Danio rerio: one gene and its partners. The protein of the gene in region 5 interacts with the protein of the main gene of each other region in a pairwise test. Links are inferred from orthologs where the notes say so. Each region holds a gene or a part of one and is shown on either strand. Other genes may lie near its edges. The genes, in order: gad2, ndrg4, snx15, sucla2, arl6ip1, tufm and acsf2.

Region 1 (3,500 bases), on a different chromosome or scaffold from region 5:
TTTCACAGGAGAGTATTCAAGTCAATTGTTTACTAGTCTTGTTTACCAAAACATGTCTCAAAATGTAATTTATTTTTGATTGCCAATGAGGTGAGAAAAATAATCTTTCTTTTCTTTCTATTTACATTTTTCTGACCCCTTTGGCACACATGTTTTTGTTTACAAAGCAAATTTAGCTAATTTAAAATGATATTTCAAGACCACTAGACTCATTATCTCAAGTCATTCTAAAGTAGATGCTTCTTGCTTTTAAAATGTCGATATGTGTACTGGAAAAACAACAAAAATATTGGGTGACGACATCATTTTTTGGAGTGCAACTTTCAGTTGTGCTTTTCCAGCAGGTAGAAACATAGCATTAAATCTACAAATGATTTTAGCAATAAAGCAACTCTCATCCCAAACGGATGACCAAGCCTTGGACACATTCAGACAACGCTAAGTTTCTTAAAACATCAAACTAAGAACATCCATTGGACAGATCATCATACATATAAGCTAAAGTGCACAAGCTCCTCTTTAGGAGAACTAGACAATACTGGCAATTAATACTAAGGCAATACAGTTACAAACACACGAAAATACAAATCGGCACAGGATGTCAAGTTAACCACTTGGGCACGAATACAACCAGCATCGGTTCAGAAATGGCTCTCCAAATGTGCTATAATAATAATCATTTCGAGTAAGTGTGTTAAAATGCACTGGATCCTCCATACACATATCTTTGCAGTTACATAAATCATCATATTCAACACGCACACACGCACGCACGCACGCACACACAAGCAGAACGCATCTACCATTTAGGATTAAATATTTCTTGAATAGAGAAAATAATGTTATTTACCACACAAATAGACTCTGCGTATATACAATACAGTGATGTATTCACATAGATATGTACTCGATCAAGAACATCTTAAAAGACTATTTACACACTATCATAGGGCATAACCCCACGTATGCTTATGCGTTCTTTTCTTTTTGGAGTTTATATATATATGACATTAAATTTAGCTCTGTTAATACCCTGAAATATTTATCATTATGTATAGGAAAGCTAAACAAGTGCATGGATGGGTTGGTAAATTAAGAAATCTAATGCTATTGTGTAATGTAGGGAAGCGAAGGTATTTATATTAAATTTGTCATTTTATTTATTTTTTTATTTTTTTAAATACTGTATATGATGTGCATATGCTATTGTTTAAAGAATTAATATTATATTTATTCTCATTTTACTTTACTTAACCACTATTGCACTTTACTCAATTGGAAATTACACATTTCAAGGCAAAAGAACATTGAATATTGTTGATGATTGCACATATTTTAAGGTGGACAGGTAATTCTTATATTGTGATCAGGATAAATATTTTGGGATGTGTTTATTAGAAGATACAAGTTAATATTTACATTTCTAAATACAGTTGAAGTCTGAATTATTAACCCCCCTTTGAATTTTTTCTTCTTTTTAAAAATATTTTCCAAATGATGTTTAACAGAGCAAGGACATTTTTACAGTATGTCTGATAATATTTTTTCTTCTGGAGAAAGTCTTATTGGTTTTATTTTGGCTAGAATAAAACCAGTTTTTAATTTTTAAAACACCATTTTAGGGACAAAATTATTAGAACCTTTAACCTATTTTTTTTCCCGATAGTCTACAGAACAAACCATCATCATACAATAACTTGCCTAATTACCCTAACCTGCCTAGTTAACCAAAATAACCCAGTGAAGCTTTTAAATGTCACTTTAAGCTGTATATAGTCTTGAAAAATATCAAGTAAAATATTATTTACTGTCATCATGGCAAAGATAAAAATAAATCAGTTATTAGAAATAAGTTATTAAAATTCTTATCTTTAGACATTTGTTGAAAACATCTCTCCGTTAAACAGAAATTAAGGAAAAAATAAACAAGCGGTCTAATAATTCAGGGGGGGGGGGGTTAATAAATCTGACTTCAACTGTATGTTTAATGTTAATTTTAATCAGCTTTTAGAAGTGTAAAACTATATAAAGCACCCAATTTTATCTCTTTTTTTGACACTTTTTCAAATAAAAATGGCTGATTTTTGAGTATTTGGTAAAATAATAGTTAAAAACTATTTTAAAAACGAATAATTGTAAATCTTGATAGAAATGATGAAGTGCTTTTGGATTAATATGTCTCTACTATCATACTATAGTCACGTATACATATCAATGTAATCTGGCACCTTGAATAACTGTTCAAATGGAAACATATGATCTGCACCGAATAGAAGCAAACAACTCTTCATATTCTCAATAAACATGTAAACAAACAAAGTCATGTCAAAGACATTAAGATAGACAGTAAAAGCAGACGGTAACACTTTTACAGGGCTCTGGACCATGAAGCCCACAACGACGCTACAATACTATACTCTAGATATTTTCATATTATCCTTTTTTTGTTTAAATGTGACTTTGGAGAAGAGGAATCAGAGATTTACCGTTACATTCACAACAAATATGCAATCCATCCAGGGACACGGGAGTAACAGGTTTTGGTGCGGTAAGTTTTAAAGATCCTGCCCCAGTCGCTCGATCTCTTCAATGAGGAAGTCAATGTCTTCAAAGGTAGCGGCTGGATTGGAGATGACCATGCGGAAGAAGTTGACCTTGTCTCCCTGTGGCTGGTAGCTCACCATGGTCGTGCCGTACTCCATCATTCTGGCTTTGATTACAGGGGCAACCTGGGAGGAAACATTTTTATTAGTTTAGGCATGAAGAAATAACTTTTTCTATTAGTCTTCATCCATCAGTTTTACGTTGTTTCAGCTAATCTCGCGTAGATAAGGTGCCATCTACTGTTGTTAAAGCATGTTGGTTTAAACTAAAAAGACAGGTTAGATTTTTTTTTTTTTAAAAACAGAATGAGAACTTGGCAATATATATATATATATATATATATATATATATATATATATATATATATATATATATATATATATATATATAATATTTCAGCATATATATACATACAGTTGAAGTCAGAATTATTAGCCCCTAGGTTTATTTTTACCCCAACTTCTGTTTAATGGAGAGAAGATTTTACAATAATTTTAATACCTCATTTCTAATAACTGAAGTGACATTTAAAAGCTTAACTAGGGTAATTAGGATAACTAGGCAGGTTAGGGTAATTATATTTAATTATAAGTTATTATATAAAGATGGTTTGTTCTGTAGGCAATTAAAAAATATATAGCTTAAAGGGGCTAATAATTTTGTCCTTAAAATGGTGATTAAAAATTAAAAACTGCTTTTATTCTAGCCAAAATAAAACAAGAAAGTCTTTCTCCAGAAAAAAAAATATTATCAGACATACTGTGAAAATGTCATTGCTCTGTTAAACATAATTTGGGAAACATTTAAAAAAGGAAAAGCAATTCAAAAGGGGCTAAAATTTCAGACATTAACTGTAAGTGTATATACTGTATGTATAAACTGTATGTATAATTATG
Region 2 (4,115 bases), on a different chromosome or scaffold from region 5:
TTCTGTGAGTTTGTGAGCTGACTTTATGGTCCATGGAATCAGTTCTGCTGTGTGAGTCTTATCAATGGAGACCTAGAGCAGGTGTGTGTGTGCAGTGCATGACTGGGTCTTGTAGTCCATATAATGGCGGATTTAGATTTCTAAGTGGTCTGCATGGGCTAGATCGCTGGTGCTTGTAACAGTAAGTCATTAATATAATTCATTTTTAAAAATTTAAGCCAGCCATGTAATTATTTACAGTTTGGTACTGAATAAAACATTACTTAGGCAAAATTCAAGTTAACGTTAGTTAATGAAAATACAGTTGTTCATTGTGAATTCATGTTAACTCACGGTGCATTAACTAATGTTAACAAGCACGAGTTTGGATGTTAATAATGCATTAGTAAATGTTCAATTATGATTAATAAATGCTGTACAAGTGTTGTTCATGATTAGTTCATGTTATTAAATGCATTAACTAATGAACCTTATTGTAAAGTGTTACCTTATTCAGAAACAATACCAAACCCAAAAAAGTGATAATGAGCTCTAAATAAAAACCTGTTCATGTGCATACTATGTAACAAGTATGGCGCGTTCTATTTTGACAACAACAGTGCAAAAGCATTTACACCTGTGCATGACACTTGCAATAGAGAAGGGAAGAGTTTGTGCGTTTAAGTGAGACTGCAAAAGCAAAGTCAGGCACACGAGGATTAATCTTTCACATCCACAAAGAAAAGCCAGCACATCCAGTTGTAATAGACAAAACTGTGCGGATTTCAAATTCAGAGGCTGTATAATATAGAATATAGCTCATGTAAACACATCCATGCCTCAAAAGTGGGCCACGAGCCTCGAGTGCTTTATCACGTGCTCCTGTGGAAGCGCACACACACAAACACTGTCACAAAGCAAGCCACATTGACAGTAATGCTTAAGGCTTTTTATGAAATCGGAGTTCTTGTCTAGTTTGGTGTGTGTATTGTGTCTTTTTTTATTTAAATGATGAATTACTATATAGAAAAGCATATCATTTTGGAATATAGCGCTCTATTGATGTATTAAATTGCATCAAGAAGTCATATTAAAGGCTGTTTTGTGCATGTGGAGGATGAAAATAGCAAATATGGGGCAAATCCAGATGAAAAACAACAGAGTTAGATTGACACCAAGCTGAGCCACTCACATGCTGGCATTTTGTGCAGTCATCCAATCAGAATGCATGGGGTGGGATGTGAAATGTGTCGGGGGAGGGGACAAGTAGTGCTGCAAAACTGCCCTGACAGGACGAGGAGAGACAAAGAGACGCCGTAGCAACCGCAGCATCTCTTTGCTTTCCTGCATCCGATTGCAATTGTCCAGAGAGGACCTTGTCGTCTCCTTTTCTTCCCTACACTTCTTTAAGCAAGCGTACACAATCTCTAAGCTACCATGCCGGAGTGCTGGGATGGGGTGAGTGGGATATCTATGATTTTAGGATGTAAACACAGGATTCTATTTATTTATTTATTTGTTAATACTAATACATGTGCTATCATGTCATTCTTTATTGTTTAGCCAAATGAATGTATATTTAATTGATTAGCCTTATGCATGCTTGAAATAATTAGCTTGACCTACTGAACTGGTATTGTGCACCAGTTCCATCATTACAGATCTATGCATGTTTATACTTGCCTGATGGCTACTTATTATCATTTATTTCAATTTATCAATCCTAATGGTTATTTAGTAATTATATTGAAATAAAAATAATCATTTAAAATAAAATCTTATTTATTTATTATTTAATAAAAAGCTAAATGTGTACATTTGTATCATAAATGTATAATATAAAACATATATATATATATATATATATATATATATATATATATATATATATATATATATATATATATATATATAATTTTTTATATTTAATATAATATAATATAATATGATATAAGATAATATAATAGATATATTCATAAAATAAAATATCAAATAAAAAGCTCCATCTGGTGAAAGCGTGATGCTGATATTGTGTGTTGTGCAGAAATGTCCAGTCATGTATGAGGTGGCCATTTGCACTAACACACTAACACACTGCCACGTGTGGGACGTGCGCACTGATGTACCTCTGCAGTGACCTGGAGTGTGTGTGTTTAGAAATGTGTGTTTGTGCATTGTGAAACTGACACCAAATCTGCGATCTAATCATAAAAATCCTCATCCAAGGACGATTGTGTGACCTTGAGCTTAAAGAAAACGAGCAGCTAAAAAAGAGCAGTACTTCAACTCACGACGCACTGCTTTACTATTGTTTTGTGCATAATATTGTCATATCTAGGTCAGATTTTGTGTTTATCTCGTCAGTGTTTGTTCCATATTGTCTGTCTAGAAAACATGCTTGACATTTTGCAAAACACAGTGACAGCTGCTATGAGATTTAATTTTGACCCGAACACAGAGTTACACAAACAGCTGTCCTTAACTCGCACAAATACACTTGCATCCGGTCTGAGCTTCCACTATTTTTTTATTTTTTATTTTCCACTAACATCAAAACCACACACTGACAGGGGCTTAAAGCCCACAGGAGATTTATTTCCCTGTCTCTCTGTGGATCTGCATTAAGCTCGGGGCTGCCTGCGAGGTGTCTGCGTGGATTTGTGCATAACATTGGAAAGCTAGAGATTCTGAAATAATCCTTATAGGACAAGAAAAAAACACACATCCATCGCTTCTCCACTTGGAGTAAAGTCTGACGGTGAATGTGGGTCAGTTCAGATTAAAATGCCTTTGGAAATGGCAATTAAAAGTGTGTTAAATGACTATGAACAGGAATCGGAGACGCTTAATAAGATATTAATTAGTTGTGTTTTTTTTTTACTCTCGATTAAATACATTTTTTATTGCCCATTAAAAATTTGGCAGCCCTTTTAGTAACTACAATATAAATCAATGTTTTAGTTTGTGTCAAAACATACAGGCTGAAATGAGAATTTCTGGCAGACTGCCTCCTTTTATTTAGTTTGTGTTAAGATACAACTGTTAAGCTGAATTTGTTGCATCTAAACAAGCTAAAACTTGATTTTTAAGTTAGCCCAATATACAATATTTTACTGAGTATAGATTGCCTTTTGAAATTAGAACATGATTGGAACAAATTTTGATTTTATAGTTTGTGTTTGGATACAAAAAATAAAGCATGACTTATTAGATTTCACCACATTTTAGCCTGTATGAAGTGGTAAATTGGGTCAGTCTTCTCACAATGTCAATACGTAGCTAAATATGCCAGATTTTGCCACAATATGGACCACTTGATGACACTGGGATGATATTGGTCCAGTTCACAAGTTTTAGCTACAGAATTTTCAACAACAACAACAACAACAAAAAACCTTTTAAACCCATTTTCAGTCAGTAATTTGCATCTAAATTAGGGTCATATTTAAGCTAAAACTGGAAAATTGGGTCAATCTCGTTTCAATGTCAATATGTACCTCAATATACTAGATTTTGCCAAATATTAGCCACTGGGATGAGATTGGTCCAGTTTAAGTTTTACCTACAAAATTTTCACCAAAAAAAATATTTTAAATTCATTTCAAGTCAGTATGTTGCATCTAAATTACTGTTGTATTTAAGTTACAACTGGAAAATTGGGTCAGTTTCGTCCCAATGTCAAAAAATTAGCTCAATATGCCAGATTCTTCCACAATATTGGCCACTTGATGACACTGGGATGAGATTGGTCTAGTTAATAAGTTTTACCTACAAAATTCCAACTAAAAAAAACATTTTAAACCTATTTTTAACCAAGTATGTTGTATCTAAATTAGGGTATTTAAGCTACAACTTAGATTTGTGTTAGGACAATATGAAATAATTGTGTGGAGCCCTGCAAACAAGCAAGCCAGCCCAGATGAAAAAAAGTAATGGGAAAGTAACTTAATGCATTACTTTCCTCAAAAAGTACCTAAGTACTGAATTTAGTTACTTGAAAAAAATGTAATCCAATGTTACTTTTAAAAGTAACTTCCCACAACATTTTAGATCCATCCTGACAGTTTCTCAGGCTCTTTGCTGAAATTGTTGTTTTTGTGTGTTCAGGAACATGACATTGAAACCCCTTATGGGAT
Region 3 (3,500 bases), on a different chromosome or scaffold from region 5:
AGCAACCTAGCTTTCCCATGTGGTCTCCCATCCAGGTAGTGACTAGGAGCAGCTCTGCTTAGCTCCAGTGGTGGACCATTTGAAAGTTGCAGAGAGCTAGCTGCCGGCAATAATAATATTATTAATAATAATAATAATAATAATAATAAAAATAATAATAATAATAATAGTGGTTAAGATAAACATTTAAAATTGAAAATGCCATTTATTTCTAAAGGAGCTGTTGACATGAATTTGATGCATATTTTGGTAAAAACCCAAACAACTCAAACTCTGTATCAAACAATCCGAACATCCAATTCAGAAAAATTTGTTATGCATAATAACAATGGAACGACACAAGAAAAAGGTACTGAACTACTGAAATGTACTTATGCTAATGACAGCTTGTAGTATGAAGAATGGAGTTGCATACATTGCTTAGGTGTAATTTTTTCCCCCAAACATCAACAGAGTCTAAAAGTCTTGACGGTTCTGTGGGTTTTGTCTATCCACTTTAATTCATTTTTACTATTGGATTCAGGTCAGGTGATTGCCTGGGCCATTCTAGCAGATTTATTTTCTTTTTTCTGAGACCCATTGAGATTTTCCTTGCCTGTGTTTGGGATCATTGTCTTGCTTTAATATCAACCCTTTTTCATCTTCATCATCTGGTTGTGTAGATGTTTGGAATAAAGCAGCTTATATTCATGCTGTCTGCTGTCTAGGATTTCCATGACCTCTAATACCCCAGTTTTTTCATGTGTTCAATACTGTTCCCCTTTGTCATTTCATTTATTTGAACACACAAAAGTTAATTTCTAAACTAATTAGTTTTGTTTGCTTTATATGTATGAATTACTTTGGTTGTTACTGACACCTGGTGACAATGTCAAGTCAACCAGCACCTTTAGAAATATGTTAAATGCAATATCAGAGGTAGAGGAGAACAGTTGTCGGAAAACTGCCAACAATTTTTTGCATTTTTTAATGATTTAAAAACCTTAAATGTGGATTGTGTAAGTATATATATATATATATATATATATATATATATATATATATATATATATATATATATATATATATATATACGGTTTTTTATAATTAGTTTTTTCTGTATTTGTATTTATTTCATTATTATTATTATTTTATTTTTCAGATTTGTATTATTTTATTTGGGGATTGCTTTGTTGGGGCTAGATTGGATTGTATATGGTTATTGTATATGTTTTCTAAGAAAAATAAGAATATTTATTTTACTCAACATTGATAACATAAATAAGAAATCATTATCGGGCCCCATGTCTACATATTAAAATGCTCTCTAAAAGATCATGTGACACTAAAAACTAAAGTAATGATTCACAGGAACAAATTTGAAAAAATATATTAAAACTGAAATAAGTTAACATGAAAAACATGATAAACTATATCAATAACACCTAACAATGAGGTTCCATAAATGTTAGTTAATGTATTGACAATCACAAATGAACAATAAACAATACATTTATTACAATACTTAACCATCTTTAGTAACGTTGGCTAATGAAATAAAGATGTTCATAGTAAATTCTTGTTAACTGTGCATTTACTAACGTTAACAAGCACAATTTTACATTTTAATAATGCACTAGTACAAATTAAAATATGATAAATAAACGCTGTACATGTACTGTTCAATTTAAGTTCATGTTAATAAATACAAACAACTAACATAACGAATGGAACATTATTGTAAAGTGTGACCCTATATTTCATAAAATTGTTGATTAAACTACATTTTTGATTCAATAAATGCAGTCTTGTAAAATACAAGAAACATTAAAAAAAATTTATGTCTACCACAAACTCTGGAACAGCAGCGTCTCTAAATTGTATTTCAAAATTAATTCATAACCTTTCAGTTAATTAGTCACACAAGAAATAGAACGTCTGGTCAAGCACAGTGCATTGTGGGATGCTATTTTCCCAATTGTGTGTTTTTGTTAAATATATGATATGTAACCAATGTTGTGTTTAGTATCCAGACATTTTTCATAAAGAAAATTTGCACCAATTATATACAGTTGAAGTCAGAATTATTAGCCTCTTTTTGATTTTTTTTCTTTTTTAAATATTTCCCAAATGATGCTTAACAGAGCAAAGAAACTTACACGGTGTGTCTGATAATATTTTTTACTGTAGAGAAAGTTTTATTTGTTTTATTTCAGTTAGAATAAAAGCAGTTCTAAATTTTTTATGAACCATTTTAAGGTCAAAATGATCAGCCCCTTTAAGCTATCTTTTTCTGATAGTCTACAGAACAAACCATCATTATATAATTATTTGCCTAATTGCCCTAACCTGCGTAGTTAACCTAATAAACCTAGTTAAGCCTTTAAATGTCACTTTAAGCTGTATAGAAGTGTCTTGAAAAATATCTAGTCAAATATTATTTACTGTCATCATGGCAACGATAAAATAAATCAGTTATTAGAAATTAGTTACTAAAACTATTATGTTTAAAATGCGTTAAATAAATCTCTCCTTTAAACAAAAATTGTAACAATAAAACAAAAAATTAAAAGAAATAAACAGGGGGGCAAATAATTCTGACTTCAACTGTATTACATACTGCAAAATATCAATTAGTGTTGCAATGTGCATGCAAACAGCCTCCATGTCTTACCTTGCACTCCTTTCATAAATATATCAACAGCCGCCCTGTATCGCTGTACGGCTGTGCTATAGTTGCCTTCTCTCTCTTGTTCCTGGGCAGCATTCAGCTCTTCATTGGCCTGGTACACATAACTAACATCTACAGCAGAATCCGTCCCATTTGAACCACACAGAGGAGCAGACAGGAGTTCAGCATGGCTGGGTGATCCGTACGGTTGATCTGAGAGATTGAATCAAGCTATGAGAGTGAGACTTTGCTTTAAAAAACAATTGCATGTAGACATGGTAAGTCAAACTGAATAGATTCTCCCACCTTCTTTGACACAAGGGTCAAAAATAGCGAGGTCTGTGTCTGAAAGCAGAGGCGGAGCTTTGAAGGAATAGTCCTCCAATCCTGAGTCAAACAGTGCATCAAACTCTTCCAACTGGTCGATTGGAGAGCCTGGCATTTCAGGCGAAGCATCTGCAATGGAGCAGTAAACCATTGTTTAAAACTTTTATTTTTAATGGCAATTTTTATTTTTAACAATCATCATTAAAGGTAATAACTTATTAAATTTTAATCAAATATTAAATTAGATAAAATAAGATTTAGTTTGGAGACCAATTCACAATATTAACTATTAACTATGACTTTTGCCTCCAAATAAACGTCTAATTGGCTCTTTATTAATGGTTAGTAAAAGGGGTGTGACAAGATGCTTATTCCACGAGATGAGACTAGACATGAGATAGGGTTCACAAGATTTTTAATACTTTTTTGGAATCCTCAATAAAATATATGAATGGAAAATGTTTTTCTTTTATTCAACTTAAAACAAATCACAAATTGCAAAACAATTTATGTGCTTTTTAAA
Region 4 (4,166 bases), on a different chromosome or scaffold from region 5:
CTTAAAAGTGAGTGTATATCCTTCATCGTTTAATAACTGTGAGACTAATAAAATATCGTTTTCCACCCAACTATAGAAAACTGATTAGTTTGGTCATTAATTTCACTAATTTGGCAACCAGCAAACATCATCAGGAAAATGGTTTGAATTTCTGCTTAGTAAAAAAACATTAGTGTTCTGTTTGGAACGACACTACATACATATACTATCCTGTTGAGTGAGTAATTGAAAAAGTACATAGTGCATAGTGTATAGTGTGCCATTTGGGGTGCAGCTTCTATATTCAGGAACAGGGTTGAGCACCCCTGGTCTAATGCGAGATGAGAACGATGTAAATTATTTAGCTGTATGCAAATATGGTTCCAAACTCTTCATTTAAAAAATAAATGCTTTTTGTTTTTGTACTTCTAATACTAATGATGACATGTGTGATGTTTTATGAACCAGATTTTTAAAATGTTTTTTTTTTTTTTAACCTGTTGTATTTGGTTATTTCTCTGATGTTCCCAGGGACAAAGTTCCACTCCTGTGCAGCTGTAACTAAAAAGGCACCCTGACCAAAGGCACTTTTCCAGAGTGGGACAATACAATCTCCCCGGGCTGCCCCTCATGTTGCTCTCTGTTTGGTGTTCCAAATAACCTAAATTAGTTTCTATTTAAGCACTTTATGATTTCCAGTAGATAAGTGTGATGATTCAATAACTTATAACAACACGCAAAAAGACACTCACTTGCTGTCATCTACTGGTTGAAAGATATACTAAAAGAAGGGCTGATTAAAAAGACTCACTATTGTGTGTGGACTCACTCTCTTTGTGGTGTTCCAAATACCTTAAATTGGTTTCTATGTAAGAACCTTTTGAATGATTTTGAATAGATTCGTTAGTGTGATGATTCAATAACACAAAACACAGAAAAAGACAATCACTTGCTGCCATCTACTGGCTGAAAGATATACTACAAGAAGAGCCGATTAAAAAGACTCGAAGAATCACTGAAATGATTCAAACCCCCTTTACAGGTAGTGGTGACACTGACCATTAATGGAAACCACACCATAGTCTAAACTTACCTATATCTTACTTGGTAGATGAATCTCCTTGCAGCAAGCATATCTTTCACGATTAAATCGAAGCTTGTTCACTTTGGCATACACGATTGGTAGCAAACCATTTCAAATCTTAAATTAAAAGCGGATATTTGTCATTAACACACGAATTGATTTAAAAAATAAAGCTTTTTGAATCATGAAGAAGGAAATAACCAACCGTGATAGACTATTCTCAAAGCACAGCTGCGCAACTGACGTAACGTTACGTAGAGACGCAGTCACGTCCAATCATTTGTTTTTCTGCAGCGCTGCTTCAGCACAGAGCAACATGGCGACGTCCCTGATCTGTGGCCGGTTGTCCGCTGGACTGAGGAATTCCAGCTCCAGGACGACTGTAAGCTCGGCAGCTAAGGTCAGTTTTGTGTATACGCGTCAGATTTTAATAACCGACTTCCATTAATGAAGTAGCTTTCTGTTTTGGTCACTTACAATGGCACCAAATGGGTAGTTCTCCTTTGACATTAGCACATTGGCTAACAGCCTGTCATTAATAATAATCAGTAATGCTTAGGTTAGCAAACCTGTTCATTATGTTCTGAGCGGGTGCTGTATTACTGTCTAATCCGAGATGTTTTCTGGGATTGTTAGAGTATTATGTTTGTTTGTATTCTTATCATGCATACCAATTACATGTCAGCTGGGTTTACGAGTTAACTTTGACCTACATGTAACTTACGGAGGGACACTCTGTTATGTTTTACTCTATGTAGTCCATTCACCTGTAGTAACAGCTGGTTGGTAAAGTAATCCTTAAACCACTCAGATTTGCAAATGTACTTGTTATAATGAACTATAAGTGTTAATATTTCTGAATCATACATTTGTTGAAATAATTGTTTGGTCAGTGAAAGGTTGTACCCTTGAGTGAGACACCTAGGTAGCTTACTTCATAATGTATCTAACTTATTTATATGCAGCACTGTATTGTTGATTACTTGGATGGTAATTTGTTGCTATTGTGTACATTAGAGCTGCACGATATTGGAGAAATCTGACATTGTGATATTTAGTTTTTCTGTGATTTATATATCTTCATTATACTTGAAAATAATTTTAGTCACATTTAAGTTCTCGTTCTTAGCAAACCATTTTGACTTTTGTTTCAATAAACTCCTAATTTTCTATTTATTAATAGTTATTAGGTTAGTTTAAGTGTTGGGTAGAAAAAGATCATACAGAACATGTGCTTTATAAGTACTAATAAGCAGCCAATATCTCAATAATATACATACTAATAAGCAACTAATGAGAATTGGACGCTAAAGTGTTACTGAGTGTATTTTGATTGACTGGGATGATTCTGTAGGGAAGTGAATCATCGTAACTTGTAATAAAGAAACTACAAGCATAGATAAATGCAACAAGGCAAAAATAAAAGTGAAATAAACCATGCATGCATTGTGGTTTTGTGTATGAGCAATTTCAGCGTCATGGACGTGACATTTGCAGTAAAAACTCAAAGGATAAATTCACATAGAAAGCAAATGTTAACATAATTTTGAAGCATTTGTTTATATTTTTCAAAACAACCAACCACAGATTTATAGGATCAGAAAAATATCCATCTGTAAACATTTTTTATATTTTAAATGAGGAAAATAAACATGTGTTATGGATGTGACAAAAAAGTTTGCGAGTTTACAGTATACAACATACGTTGTAGATAGTCTGTGAATTAAACTGCACAACCCAAAAGAAAAAATGCTAATCAAAAGAATAAGAGTCGGCTCACTATAGAACAAAAGTGAGTGGTTTCATTTTATTTGACATTTTTGTATTTATGAGGGAAATCAAATACAATAGTTTGAAAACATTAACAGAGACATTTTTGAGCAATTTTAAAGTACTGTAAATACTTTCTTACACAAAGAAAAGTAGAAACGGTTTCTCTATTTTGGTGAAAACCTAAATTTTTCTTTTATGGCAAGGTTGGCATTTGCATGGGATTGCTCATATGTAACTGTAAAAATGACACTGTAAAGTCAACTCAACATTGCATATCATTGCGATGTGACTATTGCGGATGCACACATTGCGATATCAATGCTGAAATTACATATTGTGCAACCCTAGTGCACATTCTGTTTTACTCATTCTTTTCGGCGTAGTCCCTTTATTAATCTGGGGTCACCACAGCGGAATGAACTGTTAAATGAACTGTTTTTTAATCCGGTGTCGCCACAGAGGCATGAACCGCTAACTTATCCAGCACGTTTTTTATTCAGCGAATGCTCTTCCAGTTGCAATACATCTCTATAAAGGATTACATTTAGGGTTAAATCATAATATCTTCAGATCACCCACCATTACCTTTGCATTATTTATTGTCAAAGGAGATAAACTTAACATCTAAAATGATTAATATCTTAAAAATAAAACAAATTTTAGACTTTTCTTGCATTTATTTCGCTTTGATGATTCCATCAAGCAATCACAGAAGTTGTGTTTGAATTGTAAAAACGACTATGGCTTTGTGGCAACATTATCCCTTGTTCAATCTCTTGTTTGCAGTGTTGGATTTAATTTGTACTATCAATATTTGCTTTCAATTACCAGGTGCTTGGTGGGACATCAGGTCTGTTTGGGCACCATGGGAACCAGCCATCTCCAATGCTGTCGCTGCAGCAGCAGAGAAAGCTCTCCCTGCATGAGTACATGAGCATCGGCCTGCTAAAGGAGGCGGGCATCTCTGTGCCCGCGGGGATGGTCGCCAGCACACCTGATGAGGCTTATACTGCTGCCAAGCAAATCGGTGAGAAAACATGAAAATATGCTGGACATTGTCTGAGTAAAGCCGTGTATTTTTGATAGGACTGCATTACTGTATTTGATGTGCAATACAGTTTTTTTTCAAAGTGATTTTAAATGAACAAAGACATTTTTCACAGTATTTATTGTATAAATACTGTGAAATTATATTGTTATATTAAATTAAATTATATTATTATATTATATTATTTCCTGCATTTTAAAAAAATTCATATTTCTTATATTTAAATAAAAATGGCCAGCCACAGAACAAACTGCTTTTATCCAATGAATTGGTTAATTATTA
Region 5 (4,132 bases):
ATAATTACAGGCAGGTGTGTTTGATATGGGTAGCAACTGAAATCTGCAGGAAGGTAGATCTCCAGGAACAGGATTGAGCACCCCTGGTGTAGTGGATAGAGTGTCGACACGCACTCCAGTGCGCTCAGTGAGAGTTTGTTTCCTGCCTCAAGTCCTGTGCCGATCCTTACCCTCTCTCTGCTCCCCTCGCTTTCCTGTCAGTACTCCCTACTGTCCTATCCATTTAAGGTGAAAACCACAAAAAAAAAAAAAAAATTAATAAATTCATTTTAAAAGAAAAGAGAGATTAGCTTAAACATTTATTCAATTTGATTTTTAAATATTCAGAAATGAAACACATTTTTCTCTACAGTTAACAGTAAACAAAATGACCTTACGTTTCTGTAAACAAGAAGTCATATTAAGGAGATAGTGTAGCTTACTATAAAATCTAAAATTAAAAATAAATCTAAAAATACAGAACACTCAGCAAACTAACATGGCTGAAACAACTCTGAAATTATACTTTGATGTTGCTTGCTTCTAGATCAAGTGTTACTGGCAATACCTTCAGTTGACTTTAACAAGACACTCATCACTCAATTGTGCTCATTCAAGTGCCTGGTTAGACTATCACACACATACGGCAGTCACACATTTGCTCTGGGCAGGAAAAATAAAATAATACAAATATATTTTATGTGAGCTCATCGCAATGGTTCAAATTGCGATTTGATTCCAATTAGTCGCACAGACCTACTGTATTATATGATAATTGATGATCAGTACTAAAAATTGCATTTACTCGTTTACCAAAACTAATAACGTTATTTAGCTTCGTTTCGAGGACATCCCTGTTGCCTTATGTTTTTACTTTCAGACAATGTCACATGAAGTCTGAATTTGTGCCTTTTCAATCATATCACCCTACAGTAAGAAATAAGACAGTTTTGCCTAATTTGTACGAAATGTAATGTCTTAACATAAACTAGCTTCAAGCTGCTTTATTTTATGTTATATTTTCAATCCTTTAATGGATTGTATTAAAATTAGACAGAAATTGCTTAAACTGATGATTTTCACTGTCAATTGTTACACATTTCAGGTCTTTCTTTGAACACCGTTTGTGAAGAATTCGATACTTGTATAAATTCCGAGGCTCAGCTGGTTGAACCACTTTTCCCGAATTTTCATAGCCAGTCTTAAGCCAATCGTTTGTTTTGGTTCAATTTGGAATGTCCACAACCATTGCAGAGCCCCTGGGATCGAAGAAAGGCTGGCTTGGCCTTCCCTCTGATCCATCTCATCTATTTTTGAACGTGAACTACATTTCCCATGAGTCCTTGTATTCCGAGTTTCAGATAAAAACATCCTGAAAATAACGGTCGCTTGACAGACTGCCGCAGTGGAGGGGGGAGACGCGTTCATATAATCGTGCTCCGAGGAACCTAAACTCTCAAGTAACATCTAATAAACCATGGCTGAGGGCGACAATAAAAGTGCAAATCTGTTGGTAAGTGTTAAGTTAATGTTTCTACCTATAAGCATTTCACTTGCTGTCGACGTATTTCATCTTGTACCGACGTCTTTAGCAATGCTAAGTACACGAGCTTCAGCTGTTGCTATCTTAACCTAATTTTAAAGTCATTAAAAAGAATACGTTATGTATCATAAATATCAATCTTTCCCATTTGAAAATGTTACTTATACGTGTGAATTTAGAGAATAGAAAGTAGAAACGCCACAGATATGAACTGCGTGGTAAGATGTTAGCAAGCTAACGTTAACGCGCTGCTAACAACACGGATTACTATGAAGCATCTCGCTAACGTAAATGGCTTTCCCACACACATTTTTGGTTAGTTGTCATAGTTGATACATTGTTGTACCTTTTTAAAACAAATATCAGTAGGCTGTAGCGTTATTTTAAGATGATATGAGTTTTGTTAGAGACATTCGATAATCTATCACGTTAGATTAAGTTTAATAGTAAAGAAAGATGTATAGTTGTCTTGAGGAGTATGGTTTATCTCGATAAAGATAAAGGTTTAACCTCCTTTATAGGTGATATACAGCGCAAAGTTGGAGGAAGTAAATGGGCTGAACCTAAATGTGGCCTGTTAGTTTGAACAAAAGATTCCGCAGTTGCCACATGCTCTCCTCTTTTAGCTTTAATACATCACATTTACTTTCCTATGCATTTCTTATTAGTTACTATTTTGTCCTGGTGTCTTTTAAAATTCCTGTCATGCCAGCAGGATATGCCCATCCCAACAGTTAATGGCACTCCCCATTTTACCACAATCCCTGATAATGCCATGTCATCTGACTTGAGAGAGCCGATTGTATTGACACTGATACTGACCCAGAGCATTTCTCTAGGCTCAAGAGACGAGTCAGTTGGAAGAGCAACTGCAGGGATGGGGAGAGGTCATCCTGGCTGGAGATCAGATCCTGCGCTGGGAGAAGCCATGGTTCCCTGGTGCATTAGTGAGCGTTACTACAATCCTCTTCACGTGAGTCTGCTGTTCATAGTGTACATTAGTGCCACTTCTTGACTGGAGGCCTAATCTTTGACTTCAGTTAATCAGATGAGGTCACATGCTAAAAGCCTTGAAAGTGTTTAATGTTTTTTACCGTTATTGCTTGTTTGCTTGTGCCTTAATGCATTTTAAATGAACTTCTTATTTCTCCCGTGGTATATAGTGCAGTCTTTCTTGTTTTCAGAATGACATCATAATTACCAGTGTAATTGGTGCTTTCATTACACTATTTAATAGCTATTTATTTTTTAAATGTCAGTTTTGGTGTAATTGAACAACTGTTTGCAGTTAGAGTTACTCTATTCATCATAAGCTTCCAGCAACAAGCAATTTTGCTGTCTGCACAAGACATAATTCAACATCTTAATACCACAGTTATTCAGTAGCACAGAACAGTGCACTGAACTCCCAATGGAATTGAATATTAAAATTTTTAAATACTAAACCTCATTAATTGAGATGCATGCTTGAATACGTGACTGAAGGTGTGATCACACTAGTTTGAGCTTGCAAAATTTTGTCTTATGGTGCTTTGGAAAGGGTTGTGATTAAACAAGATAATTAGAAATTAAAAAGTGAGCGATTGCTCCATGTTTTACATTTCTGTACAGTGAGGTCACGTTTTGATCTTCAGTTGGTCTTATGCTTTCACATGATACGATTTTGCAGGTCAGAGTTCACCAAGCTTAAACTTTGCTATCCAACATCAGGCGAAACTTGTCGCACAAGCTTGCGTTTCCTGTCTGACTCATTCCCATGCGTAAGAATTGAACTATATGGGGCAATAAGTGCCGTGTGAGCGCAGCTGGAGTCACAGTTATAATGTTTGTGTTTAAATTGTAGGCTAGATCTGAGGTAAACTATCTGCTGAAGGTTTCATCATGGCAATAAATATTGCAAAAAGAGATATTCAAACTTGCATTGTTAACATTTACCACAGAATAAACTGTACAATCAGCACCTGTGCTGGGCATTGTCAGTAGTAGTTTGAGCTATTGTTCTAGCTGCTATATTGCAGAAATAAAAATTATTTCTGAGTTAGAAACTATGTGTGTTGCAGTCGTGGATAAGTAGGACGAAAAAATAAATAATTAACAAAGGAAAGGTACGTTTTTCTAACTTCTCGCAGCATCACGTGTAGTTAGTTCATGGAGTAATATTTCATGTTGCATTGTTAGGGCTGGGCAGGGTTTATTTTTTTCTTTAAATTTTAAGATCTGGTTGTGGATTCTCTAAAACCATTAATGAACCCACCATAATATTCTAACAAAATTAGTTTAAATAAAGAGTTCTATGCAAACATCTTTGATCTGTAAGCTCATTTTCACTGTTAGATTTAAGAGATGTTAGTATCATTTGTATTAAATCCATGTTTACAGAACTGATGTCCATTCTTATACAATCTATTTTTGCTCTGCCAAAGGAAGCCACATCTGATTTGTTATGCTTTACACCAATAACATTACTCGCAGCCCACAACATTCTTGAATATCGTTCATTTTGAGAAATGATAAAGAAATAAACTATTTAATATCACTACAGATCTAGAAATCACAATCCAAATGATTTGACTAACCATAAGGATCAATCTCAATTACGTCATATTAGAT
Region 6 (3,984 bases), about 18 Mb from region 5:
GGAGGAAACCCACACGAACATCGAGAGAACATGCAAACTCGACACAGAAATGCCAAGCCGAGGCTTGAACCACCGACCTTCTTGCTGTAAGGCGATCATGCTACCCATTTCGCCATTGCTTTGGAACTTTTGTTTTTGATGCCTGTTTTTCATGTAATTGTAATTTACCAATGCACAATGAAAACATTAATAAATGCCCTCCTTGCATAGTTCTTTCACAACCTCTTATTAAGGTTTATAGTGTATAAAATAAACATTTTATAAGGATTTAATATACACAGAACCCATATTTAAAAGTAATTTACAGTTTTTTTGAACATTTATTGTATAACACAAAGTTACATTTGGTACATATCATTTACAATACTTTAATAATTAGATCATTAGCTCTGTTACCTGAGAGCCGCTGCTCCTCCACATCGAGAGAAGTCAGCTGAGGTGGCTTGTGCATCTGTTTAGGATGCCTCCTTGAAGCCTTCCTGGAGGCGTTCCAGGCATGTCCCACCAGGAGGAGGCCTCAGGGAAGACCCAGGACACACTGGAAGGACTATATGGCTGGCCTGGGAACGCCTCGGGATCCCCCTGGAGGAGCAGGAGGAAGTGTCTGGGGAGAGGAAAGTCTGGGGTTCTCTCCTGAGACTGTTCCTGCGATCTGGCCCCGGAAAATCGGTTGAAAATAAATGAATGAATGAATTACTAGATTATTTATAATGGTGCCAATAAAGAATGAAAAAGAAGAAAAAATATGAGGAAAAAACACAACAGAAATAAAACAGAACACAAAAAATTTAATAGGCTATTTAATCTGAGGATAGTTATTTAATACATAAAGAAATTGAGCAAAATAAGAAGATAATGTTATATTTTCAGAAATTTAGAGATTTAATAGAGTATACATATTAAAGGTCATGAAAATAGTACCTGTATATGTTTTGAGTGCTTTCTTATTAGGTGTACCTAGTACACTCATCTCTTGTACAAATGTTGGCTTGTGATTTACATTTATGAATTTAAAATCTGTATAAAAATGACAAGGCTTCTTATAAAGCATACATAAAAAAATGTATATAACAAATAATTACATTTGGAGTAGTAACGTACAATTTAGATGATTTACTGTAAGATTAAAAAACGTGTCCAGTGCGTCCAGTGTTGATGGCGTATGTGTATTTCTCCGCGCATGCGCACTTGTCACAGTCCGCAAAATGGCTGCGCTCGTTAGCGTCCGCGCGTGCCTCTCCGGTAAGTTATAAAATTCGCTTATTTTACCTTTCTCGTGCCACTGACACTATGTTCATGCAGCGAATAATCTGCGAAATATGTGTAATATTTGTGCAAATGCCGATGAGAGTGTGGAAATGGCAGTTACTGTGAAAACATGAAGGATGCTCGTGTGTTTCCCCAAGCAAGGTCACGTTCCTCAGGCTGTGACTTATATATATCGTACAGATTGAGTGGCATTATTGACATTAAAGCGTAAGATCTATCACAATATTTATATGATAGTTAAATATTTGTATTGTGTGAAGATCATACTTACGGGAAACAGATGAGGAGTGATTCGGTCTCGTGATGTTTTTGACAGTTGTTCATAATATAGCGACTTTGACGCTTGTAATATTTTAAGTTGTCCTCTGTTTATTAATGTGATGATAACATATTTTTAAGCAGATTTAATAGTCTATGTATTCCATTGTTTGCATTAGCACAGTATATTTATATATTATACAGTATATTTCCTGACTCGTGTTTATGAATGAATGAATGAATGATGATTTCTGTATTACATTTAAGCTTTTTTTGTTTGTTTTCCAGCTCTTCAGTTGACCTCTCCAAGTTTACTTCACAGCTCGTTTAAGCTGGTATGAGTTTCAGTTTTTTAAGTTTTTTTTTTTTGTTTTTATTAGTATGTTATTAAATGCATTATTATCTGTCATGGATTAGCAATTATTATTTGTTAATATCGAAGGAAAAGAAGATAAGTTAGATATTGTAAACTCCGAAATAATTGTGCAAAATATTTGTGACAAATTAGCCATACTTTGTTTTTGTTTTTTAACAGCCAAGTCCACAATGGAAGTCCAGGGCTTTATACCTTTTTATCCTCCATGGTTTTATTTCAAAATGTATGGGATTCTTTTTCTTTTGTTTAAAATCTGTCAAATAAAATTCAACTTAAATGCTTTATATACTTAAACTTGACGTTTGTCCAAATTCAATCTTTATCGGTTGGGTTAAAGTGGGTCAAAGGAATCTTGTCAGGCAAATTATGCAACAAGAATCATTTGATAACACATTTAAAGACTGTTTATCACAATGCAGCCTTAAAATACTCATTAATTGTCATTTTAAATCTATTTATATTTTGCTACTATTTTTCCAAGCACTTGATTTTAACCTATTTGTTAGCAACAAGTGTTTTAATCATCTAATATTAAAATATACTATATAATATAATGTTTTGATTACTTACTCTTTTATATATGGTTAGTATTTTGTGTGAATATTTATAGAATACTGAATGGAAATTGGAAATTGTTTCACTCATATCTGAATTTTTTAAAAATCTAAATGTAAAAACAAAATAAAAAGTTTTCTTTATAGAAAGGATAAAAAAAAGTCTTTAAAAGCCTTGAATTTAGATTTGAGAAGATATTTAAAAAATATTTTGGCTAAAACTATTTCTTCAGCCTGACAGACCCAAAAACTATTTACAATTACTATTATTATTATTATTATTATTATTATTATTATTATTATTAGACAGAACAACATTTTTTTAGTTAAGCCATCTAGTCAAATTGCAAGTAAAAATTAAAATGTGTGTCTGACATAAACATCATGTTCCTACAAAAATCAATAACACAACTAACAGAAGCAAAACAATGCAAAGTGTTTTTTTTTTTTATCATTTATGAATCCGTGGACCTATTTTAAATCCTCATATGAGCATGATCATTAATAAATAAATAAATACAAATTTATTCTTGCATACATTCATATTTCATACTCAGGAAGGTTTCAATCCAAAGTTTAGTCCCTGGTCAGTATTTATTTTTTTAAATCCTTAGCGTTTAGCCCTGATATGCATGAGTATTTTCATTGCAAATCTGATGATCTTAAATGTCTTATAAGTCAGTCTTAGAAAGGCCTTTAAAAATGTTTTCAATTTAACTTGTTAAACTCTGTAGGCACCCTGTGACATTTCCACTGGAGATATTTGAAAAAATAGCCTCATGTTTATTTATTTATTTAATTTTTTTGACCCTAGTGTGCAGTTCCTCTAAGTCGAAGGAATTTCGCTGCAGAAGCGAAGAAGGTTTTTGCTCGTGATAAACCCCATTTGAACATCGGCACTATTGGACATGTTGACCACGGCAAAACCACACTGACCGCCGCCATCACCAAAGGTACACTTTCAGCTTTATTTCATATAAGGGATGCTCCAATTGATTGTTCAGAGATTGGTATCGGCCGATAATTACATTTTATGACTCGATCGGTACTCTCCGATCTCATGAATCGATCACAGTTGTTGTTTACGGGTTTACACGTAGAGGAAGTGACACCCATGCATTGTATAAACTACCCCGAAAACCATGGAGACGAGTGTGTATTAGCAAGAGAACAGATCACAAGAGGCTCTGTGTGTTTTTAACATTATTGCAAGTTCACTAAAACCTGATTGAAAAAAATACATATAATAAATATACACATTTTTTTTACTTGAGTATTTAATAATATACCTTTTTGTATTGTACTAATTGCAATAAACAAATATGTATTTATAGGTGTGCATTTTAACATCTTATGCATCAAATATGCGCGCCAAATTTTTTCTTCATTGAGACATGTTGAATTACTTTCCCCTCATTTGTGATGTTTCTAAATGGCTTTGTTAGTCATTTTTCCCACCGCTTTTTTTTATTTTTATTTTTTATCGGTTTTATCTATTATTGTCTGTAAAGCTGTTTCTGACCATGA
Region 7 (3,500 bases), on a different chromosome or scaffold from region 5:
ATAATTTTCTTTTATTAATTTAATAGCTTTTCTAAACTTTAACATTTTATTACATACACATTATATAGTAATGTAATGTTTTATAATAATATTTTCTAATTTTTTTAATTCAAGAAAAATCTGAAATTTTGAAATCATTGTTATTGTTAATCATTATTTATTATTAATAATGATATTATATACTGCATAATATACATACATACAGTGCTCAGCATATATAAGTACACACCTCACAAATCTCTTTAAAATTCATATTTTTAATAGGAAGTTATGCAATATTATATTTGTGCATTCACATTAGTTTACTCAGTACTGAAGCCAAATCTGGAACTTATCTAACAAAATAATTTACGATAACGGTCCAAAAACTAGTACACCCAAATTTATATTATAGAAAAATATTAAATACAAATTAAAAAAAGGAAAAATCTAGAGAAGAGAAAAATGTAAAGATTTAGTTGAAAATGTGTAGGTTGTGATTTTTTTTTTTTTTTTTTTTTTTTTTTTGCAATTTTAGCTTGAATTTATTTGTATTATCTTTCAGTTTCTAAATATGTTTGGTGACGACTAAAATATTATTTTAATAGATATATCTGTTTAATAAATCTGTTTTGTTTAAATGCACCAAAATACATTGCTATATTCACTGAGAAAAATGAATACAAATATTCATTTACAGAATGGGGTGTACTCAATTATGATGAGCACTGTATACTGTTTACAATTGTAATTGTTTGTACAATATCATTTAATATTATATATAATAAAATTTTATGCTATATTAAGGCTCTTCGATTAGTTTTTTTTTAAATCGCTGTGCAGCTTCCTGAAATTTCTGCTTGAATATTGTCACTTGAATATGTTCATTATTAAAAAATTATATTTTTATGTGCTTTACTCTCACTGTGTCATCCTTGTGCTTTTGAACAGATTGGCTATGGCACAACTGAAAACAGCCCTGTGACATTCTGTGGCTTTCCTGTGGACAGTGCAGAGAGAAAGATAGAGACTGTTGGATGTATTTCCCCACACACCGAGGTGCACTTTCAAACACCACTTTATTAAGGTGCTCTTTAGGCATCAGTTCTAGCACACTGAATTATTGTTTCTCCATTAGGCTAAAGTCGTGGACCCTACAACAGGAGAGATCGTGCCTCTGGGGGCTCAGGGGGAGCTGATGATCAGAGGGTATTGTGTGATGCTGGAGTACTGGCAGGATGAGGAGAAGACCCGTGAGTGCATCACGAAAGACCGCTGGTACAAAACTGGGTAAGTGTGCTTGATACTCCTCATTACATTGTTATAAATTATATCCCAGCTGTCTTGACTGAGTGTCTCTGCTGTGTGGTTCATACAGTGATATTGCCAGTTTGGACCAGTTTGCATACTGCAAAATAGAGGGGCGCATCAAAGATTTGATCATCCGAGGAGGAGAAAACATCTATCCTGCTGAAATTGAGCAGTTTCTGCACACACATCCCAAAATTCTAGAAGCACAGGTCAGCAGCGTCTATAAAAAAATGTTTATATTTACCTTTAGCACTTCATAATTCTCAGAAACAAATTATTAGCTTCAATAATGTTAGCTGGAGAAAGTCAATATAGGCTACTGATATACTAGCAAAGACTAACAACTAACTAACTAAAACATGCTAGCAAAGAGTGTAAATATGGTATAATGCTAGTGTAATTATAATTAATGCTTGCATGGTGTTAAAACTTGGTACTAAAGTGTTAGAACCATCATAGCAACTTGCAAAATCTGCCTAATAATCGGTGCTGACAAAATGTAATTTGTGGTAAACTATGCTAACAATATGCCAACTCATTCTATTAACATGTCAAATGTGTTAAAAATAGCATGCTAATTCAAGTTAGCAACCTGGCGACCTGCTAGTAAAATACTAACCATTCTAACAACATGTCAATTGATGGTGTCAATGTGTCTTGTAGTAAATTCATTTTAGCCACAGGATATAGGATAATAAAACATGCTAGCAAAAATTTAAGTCTTATCTGTTTGGAAGCAACTTGTTATGTCATGCTAGCAATTAACTCACTGAACAGTTCAAGCGTATTGCCCATGTGTTAAAAATACTATCAACAAATGTTTAACAGGGTAGAAAAGTGAAAGAAATGGCTATTAATTGCTGAAAAAGCCTGTGTATGTTGGTAAGTTATGTTTTAATCCTGGTTTATACTGGTTCCTGCTGCTTCCCTACAGCACATGACCAGGAATGAATGAATAAAGAACCAGAAAGAACCATAAACCAGCATCCAAACAAACCTTGCCAGTGCATTCTGTTTTTTCATCAAGGATTAGAAACATGCAAGCAATGGCTAATGTTAGAAACAAATAAAATAGACATGCTAGTAAGATGCTAATTAATTCTGTCAACAAATTAAAACTTTAGCCTTGTGTTAAAACATGTTAGAAATGTGTTTAATCATGCTAACAACATGCCAATTCTTTCTAGCAGTGCTAACTGCATGGTTGCAACCTATAAAATCATGTAATACACGTGTTGAAATATTCTAGAAATATTTCAAAATCTGCTATGTTACAGTTGAATGAATTATGTCATGATATCAACATGTAAACATGGTTTAACTTTTAGTCCAGGCTTTTTTAACTGTGCTATCTGGTTTTCATTAACTGTTAGCCACCATTTTATAGTTAGCAAGGTTGTTTGAGCATTTTTAATGTCTGTTTTTTTCACACAGGTGGTTGGTGTGAAGGATGAGAGGATGGGAGAGGAAGTATGTGCTTGTATTCGACTTAAGGAGGGTCAGGAATGCACTGTAGAAGAGATTAAGGCTTACTGCAAAGGAAAGGTCAGGAAATTTGGATTCTCAAGCTTGTGTGTGTCTCCCTGCACATGTACACACTTGTTCACCATTAAAATGTTTATATACAATTTATTAGATTGTGAATATTCACTGGAGTAAATTTAATATGTAATTTAAACATAGAAATACACAAACAATTATTATTAAACAAATATAAAGAATATCTGAAATCATGTTACTTGAGTCATTTAGGAAATCTAATTCTTATATAAAAATAAATACATTTCCTTTAATTACATTTCTTCCATTATACTCAATAATCCATTTTTAAAATAAACAAAGTTACTTTCAGAGTTAAGCACTTCAATATACTTTTTTCCTTTATTTTTATGCTAAGAACAGATGTCATTGTTTATACAGAGATAGATGTTTTTTAAAATAAACCCACTTCTTAAAACATTGCCAAATAAATTGACTGTAATGATAATAAAAAGTGAAGACACACATGAAAATAATAGAAATAAACAGCAAAATTGTATAAAATAAGATAGTAATAAATAAATAGACAACCATACTTGCCCAAACTTGGTCCTGGAGGGCCAGTGTCCAGTAGAGTTTAGCTCCAACTTGCCTCAACACACCTGCCAGGACACTTCTAGCGAGCCTACTAAGAGCTTGATTAGCTAGCCCAGGTGGGTCTGATTGTGGTT

The links.
Region 1: the proteins of arl6ip1 (region 5) and gad2 interact in binary tests that used the Homo sapiens proteins (3 or more experiments, as listed by UniProt). The two-hybrid records come from large-scale screens. The link is inferred for Danio rerio from reciprocal best matches to the Homo sapiens genes ARL6IP1 and GAD2.
Region 2: the proteins of arl6ip1 (region 5) and ndrg4 interact in binary tests that used the Homo sapiens proteins (3 or more experiments, as listed by UniProt). The two-hybrid records come from large-scale screens. The link is inferred for Danio rerio from reciprocal best matches to the Homo sapiens genes ARL6IP1 and NDRG4.
Region 3: the proteins of arl6ip1 (region 5) and snx15 interact in binary tests that used the Homo sapiens proteins (3 or more experiments, as listed by UniProt). The two-hybrid records come from large-scale screens. The link is inferred for Danio rerio from reciprocal best matches to the Homo sapiens genes ARL6IP1 and SNX15.
Region 4: the proteins of arl6ip1 (region 5) and sucla2 interact in binary tests that used the Homo sapiens proteins (3 or more experiments, as listed by UniProt). The two-hybrid records come from large-scale screens. The link is inferred for Danio rerio from reciprocal best matches to the Homo sapiens genes ARL6IP1 and SUCLA2.
Region 6: the proteins of arl6ip1 (region 5) and tufm interact in binary tests that used the Homo sapiens proteins (3 or more experiments, as listed by UniProt). The two-hybrid records come from large-scale screens. The link is inferred for Danio rerio from reciprocal best matches to the Homo sapiens genes ARL6IP1 and TUFM.
Region 7: the proteins of arl6ip1 (region 5) and acsf2 interact in binary tests that used the Homo sapiens proteins (3 or more experiments, as listed by UniProt). The two-hybrid records come from large-scale screens. The link is inferred for Danio rerio from reciprocal best matches to the Homo sapiens genes ARL6IP1 and ACSF2.

Annotation. Positions count from the first base shown.
Region 1 is NC_133199.1:6,326,889-6,330,388, forward strand, and holds part of gad2 (glutamate decarboxylase 2), read right to left. Parts: intron 2,730-3,500; coding exon 2,556-2,729; 3' UTR 1-2,555. UniProt on the Homo sapiens protein: Catalyzes the production of GABA.
Region 2 is NC_133200.1:14,289,094-14,293,208, reverse strand, and holds the start of ndrg4 (protein NDRG4), read left to right. Parts: upstream 1-1,315; 5' UTR 1,316-1,416; coding exon 1,417-1,437; intron 1,438-4,086; coding exon 4,087-4,115. UniProt on the Homo sapiens protein: Contributes to the maintenance of intracerebral BDNF levels within the normal range, which is necessary for the preservation of spatial learning and the resistance to neuronal cell death caused by ischemic stress.
Region 3 is NC_133182.1:19,941,065-19,944,564, forward strand, and holds part of snx15 (sorting nexin-15), read right to left. Parts: intron 3,107-3,500; coding exon 2,957-3,106; intron 2,864-2,956; coding exon 2,654-2,863; intron 1-2,653. UniProt on the Homo sapiens protein: May be involved in several stages of intracellular trafficking. Overexpression of SNX15 disrupts the normal trafficking of proteins from the plasma membrane to recycling endosomes or the TGN.
Region 4 is NC_133181.1:10,995,481-10,999,646, forward strand, and holds the start of sucla2 (succinate--CoA ligase [ADP-forming] subunit beta, mitochondrial), read left to right. Parts: upstream 1-1,366; 5' UTR 1,367-1,379; coding exon 1,380-1,463; intron 1,464-3,667; coding exon 3,668-3,863; intron 3,864-4,166. Other genes in the region: nucleotide triphosphate diphosphatase NUDT15, read right to left, coding at 1,073-1,113. UniProt on the Homo sapiens protein: ATP-specific succinyl-CoA synthetase functions in the citric acid cycle (TCA), coupling the hydrolysis of succinyl-CoA to the synthesis of ATP and thus represents the only step of substrate-level phosphorylation in the TCA.
Region 5 is NC_133178.1:29,901,632-29,905,763, reverse strand, and holds the start of arl6ip1 (ADP-ribosylation factor-like protein 6-interacting protein 1), read left to right. Parts: upstream 1-1,332; 5' UTR 1,333-1,456; coding exon 1,457-1,492; intron 1,493-2,361; coding exon 2,362-2,495; intron 2,496-4,132. UniProt on the Homo sapiens protein: Positively regulates SLC1A1/EAAC1-mediated glutamate transport by increasing its affinity for glutamate in a PKC activity-dependent manner.
Region 6 is NC_133178.1:12,129,051-12,133,034, reverse strand, and holds the start of tufm (elongation factor Tu, mitochondrial), read left to right. Parts: upstream 1-1,184; 5' UTR 1,185-1,205; coding exon 1,206-1,242; intron 1,243-1,815; coding exon 1,816-1,862; intron 1,863-3,271; coding exon 3,272-3,410; intron 3,411-3,984. UniProt on the Homo sapiens protein: GTP hydrolase that promotes the GTP-dependent binding of aminoacyl-tRNA to the A-site of ribosomes during protein biosynthesis. Also plays a role in the regulation of autophagy and innate immunity.
Region 7 is NC_133187.1:28,300,066-28,303,565, reverse strand, and holds part of acsf2 (medium-chain acyl-CoA ligase ACSF2, mitochondrial precursor), read left to right. Parts: intron 1-930; coding exon 931-1,038; intron 1,039-1,117; coding exon 1,118-1,269; intron 1,270-1,357; coding exon 1,358-1,499; exon of another isoform or gene 1,500-2,685; intron 2,686-2,724; coding exon 2,725-2,835; exon of another isoform or gene 2,836-3,317; intron 3,318-3,500. UniProt on the Homo sapiens protein: Acyl-CoA synthases catalyze the initial reaction in fatty acid metabolism, by forming a thioester with CoA. Has some preference toward medium-chain substrates. Plays a role in adipocyte differentiation.